Linked DNA regions of Danio rerio. The protein of the gene in region 2 binds, or shares a complex with, the protein of the main gene of each other region. Links are inferred from orthologs where the notes say so. Each region holds a gene or a part of one and is shown on either strand. Other genes may lie near its edges. The genes, in order: nup205, nup153 and nup107.

What was found.
Region 1: nup153 (region 2) and nup205 share a complex: the UniProt entries of both Homo sapiens proteins name them as parts of the nuclear pore complex. The link is inferred for Danio rerio from reciprocal best matches to the Homo sapiens genes NUP153 and NUP205.
Region 3: nup153 (region 2) and nup107 share a complex: the UniProt entries of both Homo sapiens proteins name them as parts of the nuclear pore complex. The link is inferred for Danio rerio from reciprocal best matches to the Homo sapiens genes NUP153 and NUP107.

What each region holds. Positions count from the first base shown.
Region 1 is NC_133193.1:13,606,376-13,610,032, reverse strand, and holds part of nup205 (nuclear pore complex protein Nup205), read left to right. Parts: intron 1-995; coding exon 996-1,145; intron 1,146-1,229; coding exon 1,230-1,304; intron 1,305-2,127; coding exon 2,128-2,285; intron 2,286-3,337; coding exon 3,338-3,418; intron 3,419-3,508; coding exon 3,509-3,657. UniProt on the Homo sapiens protein: Plays a role in the nuclear pore complex (NPC) assembly and/or maintenance. May anchor NUP62 and other nucleoporins, but not NUP153 and TPR, to the NPC.
Region 2 is NC_133194.1:48,945,492-48,949,861, forward strand, and holds the start of nup153 (nuclear pore complex protein Nup153), read right to left. Parts: upstream 2,860-4,370; 5' UTR 2,783-2,859; coding exon 2,705-2,782; intron 1-2,704. UniProt on the Homo sapiens protein: Component of the nuclear pore complex (NPC), a complex required for the trafficking across the nuclear envelope. Functions as a scaffolding element in the nuclear phase of the NPC essential for normal nucleocytoplasmic transport of proteins and mRNAs.
Region 3 is NC_133179.1:23,343,395-23,347,051, forward strand, and holds part of nup107 (nuclear pore complex protein Nup107), read right to left. Parts: intron 3,547-3,657; coding exon 3,417-3,546; intron 3,336-3,416; coding exon 3,232-3,335; intron 2,129-3,231; coding exon 2,001-2,128; intron 1,425-2,000; coding exon 1,376-1,424; intron 979-1,375; coding exon 907-978; intron 822-906; coding exon 733-821; intron 644-732; coding exon 451-643; intron 1-450. UniProt on the Homo sapiens protein: Plays a role in the nuclear pore complex (NPC) assembly and/or maintenance. Required for the assembly of peripheral proteins into the NPC. May anchor NUP62 to the NPC. Involved in nephrogenesis.

The DNA.
Region 1 (3,657 bases), on a different chromosome or scaffold from region 2:
CGCATACTGGTTTTAACGTACTATATAGTATGGAAGTATGCCATTTCGAATGCAGCTTTTTTTTGTCCCTCTATTCACCTTATTCTCCGCTGACGAGTGGGCGCTGCCATTTGAATCTTTTTGGCTTAAGACTTCCGGTCTCATTCACTTCCATTAATATTTTGACGTTAAAAACTGCTCATTACGCTGCTTTATGATGCAATTTGATATTTTGTTATTATATTATTCTACTTGGTCTGTATAGTCATGCAAACATTTGTTTGTAAAGCAAGTAGTTTGACCGTTTTCTGCCGTTTATTATTCCTAGTCATTTCTCCCATAGGCGACTGAATCGGAAGTTCTAAGACAATCGCAAAAACAGGCGCACTTCCGCATTTTAGAATAAGGTCAATATGACAATTCAATAATTCTAATCTTTGTTTTGGTACAATACAGTGCAGCATGAATACCTTGTTATGAGTACCTTGTTTTGGTGTGCTTTATTACAACACATTGTAATGACGGTTCAAATGATGGGTGTTTACAAAAGTTTATACAAATTAACAGTGGAAGCGATCAAAGTAGCTAAGCATTTTAAACCTCATTACCCCTACTTTGTGTCATCTACTTATAACCAGATTGACAAAACGGCATCTTATTATCAGGTTTAATCAAGGCATTACAAAAAAAATATTCAGTTCAATTTAATTGTTTTTTCATTGTATATTATATGCTGGTTGATGGCACCCATTTACTTCCATAATATTTTATTTTCCTTCTGTAGAAGTCAGTGAGTGCCATCAACCAGCATTCTTCAAAATATCTTCTTTTGGGTTCAGCAGAAGAAAGAAACCTTTAAATGTTTAAAACCAATTAAGGGAGAGTAAATGCTAAACACATTTTTTTTATTTTTTGGGTCAACTATCCTTTAAAGTATGCCGTTCAGAGATTTTGTATAATATTTCCAGTCTTATTTTGACTTGTCAACTGATTGAGTCCATCTTTATTTCCTATAGAAAATGAGATCGCGGCTCTGTCTCAGATGTCCTGGCTAATGAAAACCACAGCAATCGAGCTCCGAGTGACCTCACTGAACCGCCAGCGCTCACACACACAGAGACTCCTGAACCTCCTCCTCGATGACCAGCCACACACATTACACACAGGTAATACACACAGTTCCACAGAGTTCCTCACAGTGTCCAAGCAGCAGCATTGAAGTCAACACATTCTTTGTATTTGTCTTGCAGCAGATGGAGAGACCGGCATGGAGGAGGAGAACAGATCAGTCAGTGGTTTCCTGCAGTTTGGCACCGTCTCCAAGGGTAAGGGAAAGTATTGATACAGTAGCTACAAAAAGTGGTTTCATGGAATCAAAGGAAATTACAACTTGCATTTTACAACCTCCCTAGAGTTAAACAGTTGAGTTGAACCTTTTTTTAATCTATTAAGCCAATATCCAGGTCTGGTGGGAACACTTTTAGTTTAGCTTAGCATAAAGCATTTAATCAGATTTGACCATTAGCATCTTGCTCAAAATAGTTTGATAATTTTCGTATTAAAAGAGTTCTGCTCTTCTGTAGTTACATCATGTAATAAGACCGACTGAAAATAAAAGTTCCCATTTTCTAGGCCGATTCGGCTAGGAACTACTGTCTGGTGTAATAATCAGGAGTTTGCTTCTGTACCATGGCTGAGCAGACACAGTTACATTAAGCAGCAATGATTCTATTTTCAGGGCTGCATAATACCATTGATCCTGGTGGAGCCATAGTTCAGCAGCAAATTCACTTAATCATTACTTCAGAATGAGAATACAGCCATATCAACTTAGAAAATAGCAACTTTTCAGTTTTCCTTGGTCTTAGTACATGATGTAACTACAGAAGAGTCAAACTTTAAATAGGAAAATTATCAAACCTCTTTTTAGACATCTTTGAGTGAGATGCTAATGGTCTAATTCAATTCAATGATTTATGCTAAGGTAAGCTAAGCTTAGGGTAAAGTGTTGCCCCAAACCAAAATGCTATCTTAAAGGTTAAACTGAACCCTTTAACTCTTGGTGACATGAAAATCAGCCTATTTCCAAATAATAAAAGTGTGAAATAATGGTGTTCCTTTAATCATGGTGATCTCTGGTGGTTTTAGTGCGCAGGAGGCTGCTCAGTGTTTTGGATGCCATAGATTTCAGTCAGGAGGCACCAGAGCTTTTGCAGCTGGACTTCTTTGAGCGCACTCAGATCGAGCAGGTCATCACTAACTGTGAACATGTCAACGAGCAGGGACACACCGTCTGCAATGTCAAGGTACATGGATGAAAAACTGAAAAATATTATGTTATTAAAAAAATAATACAAAAAGTATTAAGCTTAAAACTTTTAAATGAAATAGTCTATTCCAATGAAACGCCACAATAATATATATATATATATATATATATATATATATATAAATATATATATATATATATATATATATATATATATATATATATATATATATATATATATATATATTATAAATGTTTTAAATTCAGTTAGGAGGTCATGGCCTGATGTGTCAATCTACTATTGGTGCACAACAAAATAGCCAAATGAACTGAAATACATTAAACAAAGCTAAAGAACTGAAAGGACGTAATTTCTATCAAAATTAAACAAAATTTGCCAATTTGTAACAGCTCATAAACACAAACTTTTAGGGGAGTTTGGCTCCTAAACACTTTTGAAGCACTATTGGTCTATATTTACATTTTTTATTAAAATAATAAAGTGGCTATAAAAACTATCCTTTTAATAAAAGCTTCATCAGTATCTAAGCAAAACTGAAATAACACTTGTATAAATCAAACAGAAATGATGGCGGCATTCACTATAATCAATGTTTATTATAAATCCCAAGTCTAAAATTAATTTCAGGTGAATCTAGTACTCTAATATCTCATTCATTACACAAATGAGAATGTGCTTTCTGTCTGCTTAGTTTTTCTTGGTATTTCATTATATGTCACTTTGGATGATCTGCCTTATTTTTCAGTGCTCCAGTTTTCTGTCAGTGGGCCAGATATCAGAATTATTAGCCACTATAGGGGAATTATAAGCAGAATAACAGTGAAGTGCAGCAGACAGTAATGCTGTGCCACATAATTAGGAAAATATTATAATAAAAATATTGGTTTGTTTATTAAGCAGCAATATTAAATGTGCTGTTTGTACATCTAAAGATAGATGGAAGCCAGACACATTACATATATCAGTGTATTCAATAAGTTACTGCCCATTTCAGTAAAAAGACATTGCTCAAGACCAAAATAAAACATTACTATAAGAATTTTTTTTTTCGGATTACTGTTTTGCAGTTGCTGCATCGAGTTTTAGTTGCAGAGATCAATGCACTACAGGGCATGGCAGCCATCGGGCAAAGACCACTGCTAATGGAGGTGGGTTTATCTATGATATTTTTTCAAGGCTAGGCATTAAAAAAAAAAATCTTGCCTCTGACTGTCTTGTTTTTGTCTCCATCCCATCAGGAGGTGAATTCAGTCCTGCAGCAGGTGGTGGAAAGGAATCGCGTGCGGCGCAGTCTCAGTGCCAAGCGCCATGCTCTGCAGAGCTGGAGGAGTCTGGTGGAGACCATCCTCACCGCCTGTCCTTCAGAACTCATCCCTGCAGACCAGCG
Region 2 (4,370 bases):
TTGTCGGGTTTATGTTGAAGATTACAGGGCAAGGTCAGCATCTGATTGGTTATTCAGCAACCAATCAGAGTGCAAAAATAAAAACTGAAGTAATGTAGCAAGCAGACAATTAAGGCTGATTTACATTTCTTCATCAAGCGCACTTGTATGCTCCAGTGCAGCCTTTGCAGTTGCATAGCACTCGCAGTGGCTGCCGCACACTTCTCAAGAAATATAACTATACTTTCACAACGACGCATAGTACAAGCTTTGTAATAGGTCAGCTTGTTAGCTGTGACCAGTGTGGGTGAGACAGAGATCCGCGCCAACCTGTTTGAGTGAGTGTTTACAAGTGTCGAGAGTCTGTGAAGTCGCTCCGGATGGAAACTGTAGTTTTGTGTTTATGATTAATGCTGTTGCACGTCTGCCGGTTCCCGCATCTTAATGAGTAAGTTTGAGCGACTTGTACATTAGGGTAACAAATCAGAAAATGCAAAACATCCACATATAAAGTATAAAAAGCAGACAATGCACAGTGATGCACCGAGATATCGAAATGAATAGAATCGATGGCATGATAATCGTAACCGAACCGTGAGGCCAGTGTAGGTTTACACCTCTACTTTGCATGTGCATGTCGGAAGTTCGGTTTTCATGTATTGAACAACAAAACAGATTATTGCGAAGCAAAGTAATAAAACAAATCATCTTACAAACGGTTTTCATTGGCGCTAGTTGTAAGGCGTAAACCTGGTGTGCCCCAGCATTTATAAGCCTGACAAAGCATACTTTTTATAAAGAGGTTACAACTATGGCTTTTTTGGGAATGTAATGTAATGTATTTATCTAATGCCATTTCAGCAACTAAGGCTATTTTCATAGCAGGAACCTTTCAACAATATATATACACAATTAAAAGTCAACAAACAAAAGAATACATAAATTAAATAGGATTTTTAGTGTTGATGCATGATAGAAATTCTAAAATCTTTTCTAGTTTCACCTTGTTAAAAATGTCCTTAAAAGAGTTAATTTCATAAAAAAAGTCTTCTGGAATCATTAAAAGCAGGACAGTCCAGTAAAATGTGGCTTTTTTGGGAGAAAACAAAAACGAAAAAAACTTTGTTTTCAGGTAACCAGGTAAAGAATAAAAAGTGATTTGGGGAAAGCAGAGAGGTTATTCGTATGTGTATAACATATTTACGCATGAGCAAGTATTTAACAGTCAAAACAACACTAATAAACATGAGCATACTTAACTAGAGCACACAGCATTTCTTCAGTAAGTCACAGAGAGCTACAGGCCGATCATGGCGAATACAAAATTTCTTGTGGTTTTAATAGATCAGCATAAACATAATTAATGTACCCTAAGCTAGATTCAATAAAGTGCTTGCTTTTTTATTAAGCTTGGAACATGCAGTTTTAAAACCTTATTAATGAGGGGCTTAAATTCATTGGGAAAAAAAAGAATATACTGTGCAATTAATCTATTGACAGTAGAAAATAAAAACAAGGCGCAATGATGCACAAATGTCAACAAAAATACGAGTATGTACCGCCCTGACTTTTAAACTGCCTTCACATCTTGCATTTCTACGTGGGGTTAATTACTAAATATACCAGAATACACACTTTGACCATGCTGAACACGAACCAGTTTATTTCATGATTTTTCAATACATCAACAGTCTCATTTTTACAGTATCCTACACATAACACTATGCATCGACTATTTCTAACTTCTAATTAAACCTCACACAAAAGAAAATGCGTTTTTGACTGCCAAATAGCTTATGTGCCTCTCTAACCCACTTAATTTGCCTAAAACAGATAATCTAGTAATATCACGAAAAATGCAAAGTGATTTTCAACTATGATTCATAGTGTTTAGGTTATGAATTATCAGAATAACTGTTTATGATGAATTCAGGATCACTATAAGGCTAATTAAAATTGTTGTTAATGAAAACACACACGAACCTGTGTTAATCACAACACCTTTACGTTCTTTATGAAATAACATGAGTGCAGGATTTCCAGTGTGTGTGTGATGTGCAGATGAAAACACGCCACGACACGCACACACTCGCTCATCCCGCCTTTCTTCATGATGTCAAACCCCACTGCGTTAAGCAGCATAATGTACGCCAAAACATACCGTTATATTAATCTCTAATCACATCCAAAACGATCATCAACCAAGCTTAAAACTTACAAATATAACAACACGCACACAAAAAGTGCTCTGAAGCTCATTACTCTCATGTGGAGTCACTCTGAGCGACACACGCGAGTTATGTAGTCAAAGTAAGAGTATAAAGAACTTAAATAGGAAATCGTTCGCTACGAAAACCAAGTTTTAATGGTTTGTTTGGACTGAAGTGATTATATCTGACGCCGGTGCTAGCCGCAGCTAACGGCTAACGGTTTGGGTATGAAACGCGTTCACGCGGTTGTCTTCACCTCAGTGAAAACACATTCAAATTTCACTTCTCAGTCGCCATATTTTCGAGTATTTTCCTCACCGAGTGGCTTTGTTTTATCAGTCAAATGAGTTGGCGGTGTGGAAAGCGTGTGCTGGAAGAACGTGAACAGGCCTAAAACAGGCCTCAAAATGTCTCCTGCTTCACAAAAACAAAACCCGCCGCCAAACCGCTGGTTAGGGTTCCGTTAATAACCGTTACATTCCCCGCTGTTGGCGCTTCATGTTGGTTTTGTTTACCTGTTTGCCTTTGGCGTAGGGTTTTGACGCAATGTGGTGTCTTCTGGATCTGATTTTCCCTCCTCCTGTCGCCGCCATGGTTAACTAGATTGAGTCTGCTCAGTAGCGCTCGCCGGATAGAGCTCCGCTGTCACAGCGCGGCCCTCCAATATACCGTCAGCCACCGCGGCGCTGGGTTTCATGGGATATGTAGTTCAGGAGGACACTTCATGCGCGTTCACTATTGACGTCAGTTTGTAGGAACTTCGTTCGGGTGGTAGGGGATTTTGCTTTTGTAGATGTGAGTAAACTGAGGTATTTAGTAAATTAGGTCAAGATACTTTCTGTTTCATTTTTAAAACAGTGGTTTCTCCAAATATGTTCATCTTCATGCCAGAAATAAACATCTAGCAGTCATGAATGGTTCTTGTATAACCACCCATAGCTTATGTAGTGTAAACATAAATATTAGATATTAGATATCATTCATTCATTTTCTTTTCGGCTTATTCCCTTTATTAATCAGGGGTCGCCACAGCGGAATGAACTGCAAACTCATGCAGCATATGTATTACGCAGCAGATGCCCTTCCAGCCGCAACCCATCACTGGGAAACACCCATACACACTTATTCACCAACATACAATTTAGCCTACCCAATCCACCTGTACCGCATGTGTTTGGACTGTGGGGGAAACCGGAGCACCCGGAGGAAACCCACGCCAACACATGCAACCCCACACAGAAACACCTACAGACCCAGTCAAGGCTCGAACCAGCGACCTTCTTGTTGTGAGGCGATTATACTACCCATCGCTTTGCAGTTGAAACAATATATATATATATATATATATATATATATATATATATATATATATATATATATATATATATATATATATATATTTTTTTTTTTTTTTTAATTGTTTTAAATAATGTACCAAATATTATTTTAATTTACTTTATGCAATCATTGTATTGATTTATTAATTATATTTCTAATTGATTTTTATACTCATTTGTAATTATACTAATTTTATTTATTTAATTCTGCTTTTTTGTGATGCATTTATTATTAATTTTTAATTGCTTCTGACATTTTTTTCATCATTTTAATGTAATTCATGTATTTATTGTTTGTTTAAATAAATTTCATATTAACAATTTAACGTGTAATTTATTTGATTTTGATTTAGGATTTTTTTTTTCTAATTATAATTTATTATTATTAGATTATTTAAATATAATCTTCATTTAATTACATACAAATTTGTTTGTTAATAAATGGTTTCATTTTGTATCATTTTAATAAATAAATAATTTTTTATTTATTCAGAATTTTCTTGGGGTGACGCGGTGGCGCAGTGGGTAGCGCTCTTGCCTCACAGCAAGAAGGTCGCTGGTTCGAGCCTGGGTCAGTTGGCATTTCTGTGTGGAGTTTGATGTTCTCCCTGTGTTCGCGTGGGTTTCCTCCGGGTGCTCCGGTTTCCCGTACCGTCCAAACACATGCACTAGGTGAATTGAGTTAGCTAAATTGGCTGTAGTGTGTGAGTGAATGAGAGTGTATGGATGTTTCCCGGTGATGGGTTGCAGCTGGAGGGGCATCCGCTGCATAAAACATATGCTGGATGAGTTGGCGATTTTATTCCACTGTGGCGACCCCTGATTAATAAAGGAACTAAGCCGA
Region 3 (3,657 bases), on a different chromosome or scaffold from region 2:
TCTCTCAACATTCCTGCAGCTAGTTTTAAAAACAAGGTGTGTCATTTCTGCATAGACTGCCTGTGGTGTTGTGTTTACCGTTTCATTAATCATGTATAACAGTGGCAAACAAGTTTTCCCATGAAGATACAGTTCACTGAAAAATCTAAATTCTGTTTACTGATTTGCTCCAAATCTGTTTGAGTTTTTTTCTTCTGTTCAAAACAAAGTAATATATACTGAAGAATATTGGAGAAAAAAAGCAGCCATTGACTTCCACAGCATTTTTGTTCCCAGATTAAGTGCAAAAGCGGCTTTTAACAAGCTTGCTTCAAAATATTTTGTTTTGTGTTTAACAGAAGAAGGAAATTCATAATATGTACAACCATTTGAGTAAGGAAATAAAAAATGTAGGGTGACCTATACGTTTAAGGGAATTAATAAAGCATCTCAACTAACATACACACATACCTCATCAGTCATGCCAGCTCGTATGAGATTGAAGAGGTTTTTGAGGAGGCGAGAGTCGTCCTCTCTGTCCAGGTCTGCCAGGGGTCTTTTCTGTCTGATGGGAGCATCGGGATCCAGTTCAGTGACCAGTGGCCTGCTTAAACCACCACTGGACTGATTCCTCCTCAGCTTCAGCGTGTGGAGTGTGTTCTCCCTGCACACCAACAAACAGATTAATAAAAAATTTTATTTAGACATACTGAGACATTCTCAAAGACATAAATGAGTGGTAAAATCACTTACCAGTACACAGATTTAGCATAGTATTCAATGTTATCCGAGAAGTCTCCTATATCGTCTTTTGCTATACTCTCCAACCAATCCACCACCAGCTAAATAAAAACACACATCAGATATTGAGCTTTTTTTTTTTTTTCAATGTAAAAATATATTGGTGTAAAATGGATGTATGTTTACCTGGCTCTGTCGCACCATACTGTCCTTTTGGAAGAACTGCTCCATTACTGCTTTCTCACTCTCACTGGGCATCTCCAGAGAAAACACAACACGAAACAGTTCATATCAAAGTGAGATGTCCATGAGTAAAAACATGGCACACACCAGGGCGAACAGTCTAAATGAAACTGATACGGACACTGTATTATATTGACTAGGAGTTTTTAAAACATTAATTTAAACCAAATAAAAAAGAATCTTAAATAAAAAAAAATTACATATTTTGCATTTTGATTGCAGCAAATAAAATTATATAAAAGCTCCAGTAAATTAATTGACATTGTGTCAATTTGTCTAATCAGAATAAAACTGCATCTCTATTTAAACAAACAAGCAAAAAAATACAAATAAAATTGTGATTCTCTGGTTTTATAGAATTACGCAGCTCTATCCCAAGCAGAAGAGTAGAAAGAAACACACATGCACTTACAGTAATATCCATCATGATGTCTTCTTCTAAAACAGTCTGAACTCTGTCTCTGTGTTTGAGAGAGTTTTAACAATACATAAGCAAAAAAGTAATAGTATTCAGATATTTAAAAATCCTACTGTTTTAAAGTCTGGTATTAATAAGATTATTATTATTATTATTGTTTATTTAAACTCATAATATTGTATTTACATAGCATTTATTTGATCAAAAAACAGCAGTGAATAGTAATAGATAAGCTTAATTTACTACAGCAGCCATTACTTCAGTCTTTATTGAGACATAATCTTTGAAAAATCCCTCGACTTTGCTGATTTAGCAGTAAATAATCAATTCTCATTAAACTCAATGTTGAAAAAAGTTGTGCTGCTTTATATTTGTGTGGAAACTGAAACATTTTTGCATTTTTAGATAAACTAAGCAAAAAAACATCAAAAATATTCATTTGAAATGGAAATAGATTTGAAATGCTGTCAATTTTGATAAATTTGCCACATCAGCAACTCATGGGTATTTTATGGCAAGCTTAATATAGATTAAATACAAAAAACTTCAATAACAACTTATTTCTTATGCATTCATCAAAACAGTAGTGTGTGTGGTCTAATGTATGAGTGTGTTGTACCTGTACAGAGAGGTGATAAGTCTCCAGGTCACCATCTCTTGCTGCAATAACCAGGTGATGCTGACAGTCTTGGAGGATTTCTGCTGGCCAGGGGCTGAACGGAGAACCAGTTTCTGCAACACACTGACCTACAAGTCAGGACAGTGCATTAGTAATGACTTGTTGTGCCAATATTTTTACTTGCTATAACACTAAAAACTAAAGTCATTTTTAAAGACTATAGTCTTTTTTTTTTTTTTTTTTATAAAATCACTTACCAGTACACAGATTTAGCATAAAATCACTTACCAGTACATAGAATATGAAAATATTTTATGCATTACATACAGCTACTTATCAAAATTCCTTTGTCAAACAAGTTCATATTTTTGTTCAAGCATTGTGTGTGAATTTTAAAACAGTTACACATAGGTCAACCGAGAGTAAAAAAACATAATAAAAGTATTAGTTTCTTAAACAACTCAAATCAGTGCTGATGATTACTTGGAAAAATAAAATGATTTTAATCCTTAAAATTACAATTAGTTTACATGTTACTGTTTTATTGGAAAACACACAAAAACAAACAATCTCCTCTCAATACACACATATACTAAAGGTAAGAAGATGTATTACAGGATTAATACGTAGGATTATTAGTCTTGGATAAGTCAAGGATCTGAAATAACATTTATTTTAATGCACTTTTTAAGTTATGCTGCACAAAAAATAATCTAAAATAAAATAAAAAACAAAATCTCTCAGTATGTACTACATACAAAACAAACTCTGCTATCCATCCATACAACACAAAAACCAGAATTATAATTACATCATTTAAATACATTTTTCCAGCAGTGCTAAAAAGCTGAATAAAAAAAAGATTATTTGCTCGATGGTCCAAAACTGAAAAAAATGTGTCAAAATATTTAACATTTTCTAAACCAACATTACAATATGCATGTCTTGTAAACACAATTGATGCATTTGAGCAAAGTATGTATGAGTATTTGCTTAAACAGAAAAAAAATGGAATAGCAAAAATGAAAATTTTGTCCTAAAGGTCCTGAATGTATTATAATTGTTTATCTACAGAAAAACTGAATTATACAAATTCAACGTTAATAATAATAATTTTTTTTTATAAAAATATTAAATATATGCTGTTTGTGTTTAATACAGCCTAAACGATCAAAAAAAAAAAAAATATATATATATATATTTAAATTTAAATTATGTACTGCTAGTGTACCTTATCTTGACAGAGAGCTTCATATTCCTCCAACAGGTCAAACACGGCTGTGGACGCATGACGCAAATAAGACTCCAGGAATTCAGGAAACAAACCAAGAGAAGCTAAGAGAAGAAAACAGAAGAGCTGAAAATCATGTCAATTGACCGCTTCATTTGTGATTATGAATTACTAAGAGTATTCACCAGCCTCTCCAGGATCATCTTCCTTCAGCATCAGAGCACTCATGCTAACGTCGTCAGTAAAGCTTGTGTCCACTATTCCTGATAGAGGAGATGGGTAAAGACTGTTCGTCCAGTCACTGTCATCCAAGTTCTGGAGAGCAAACAAACAACAGCAGCACACAAAAATGTTACTAACACCAACTAAATTTGCAGTCAAAGGCTAAATTATTAGCCCTCCTTTATTTTTTTTTTATATTTCCCA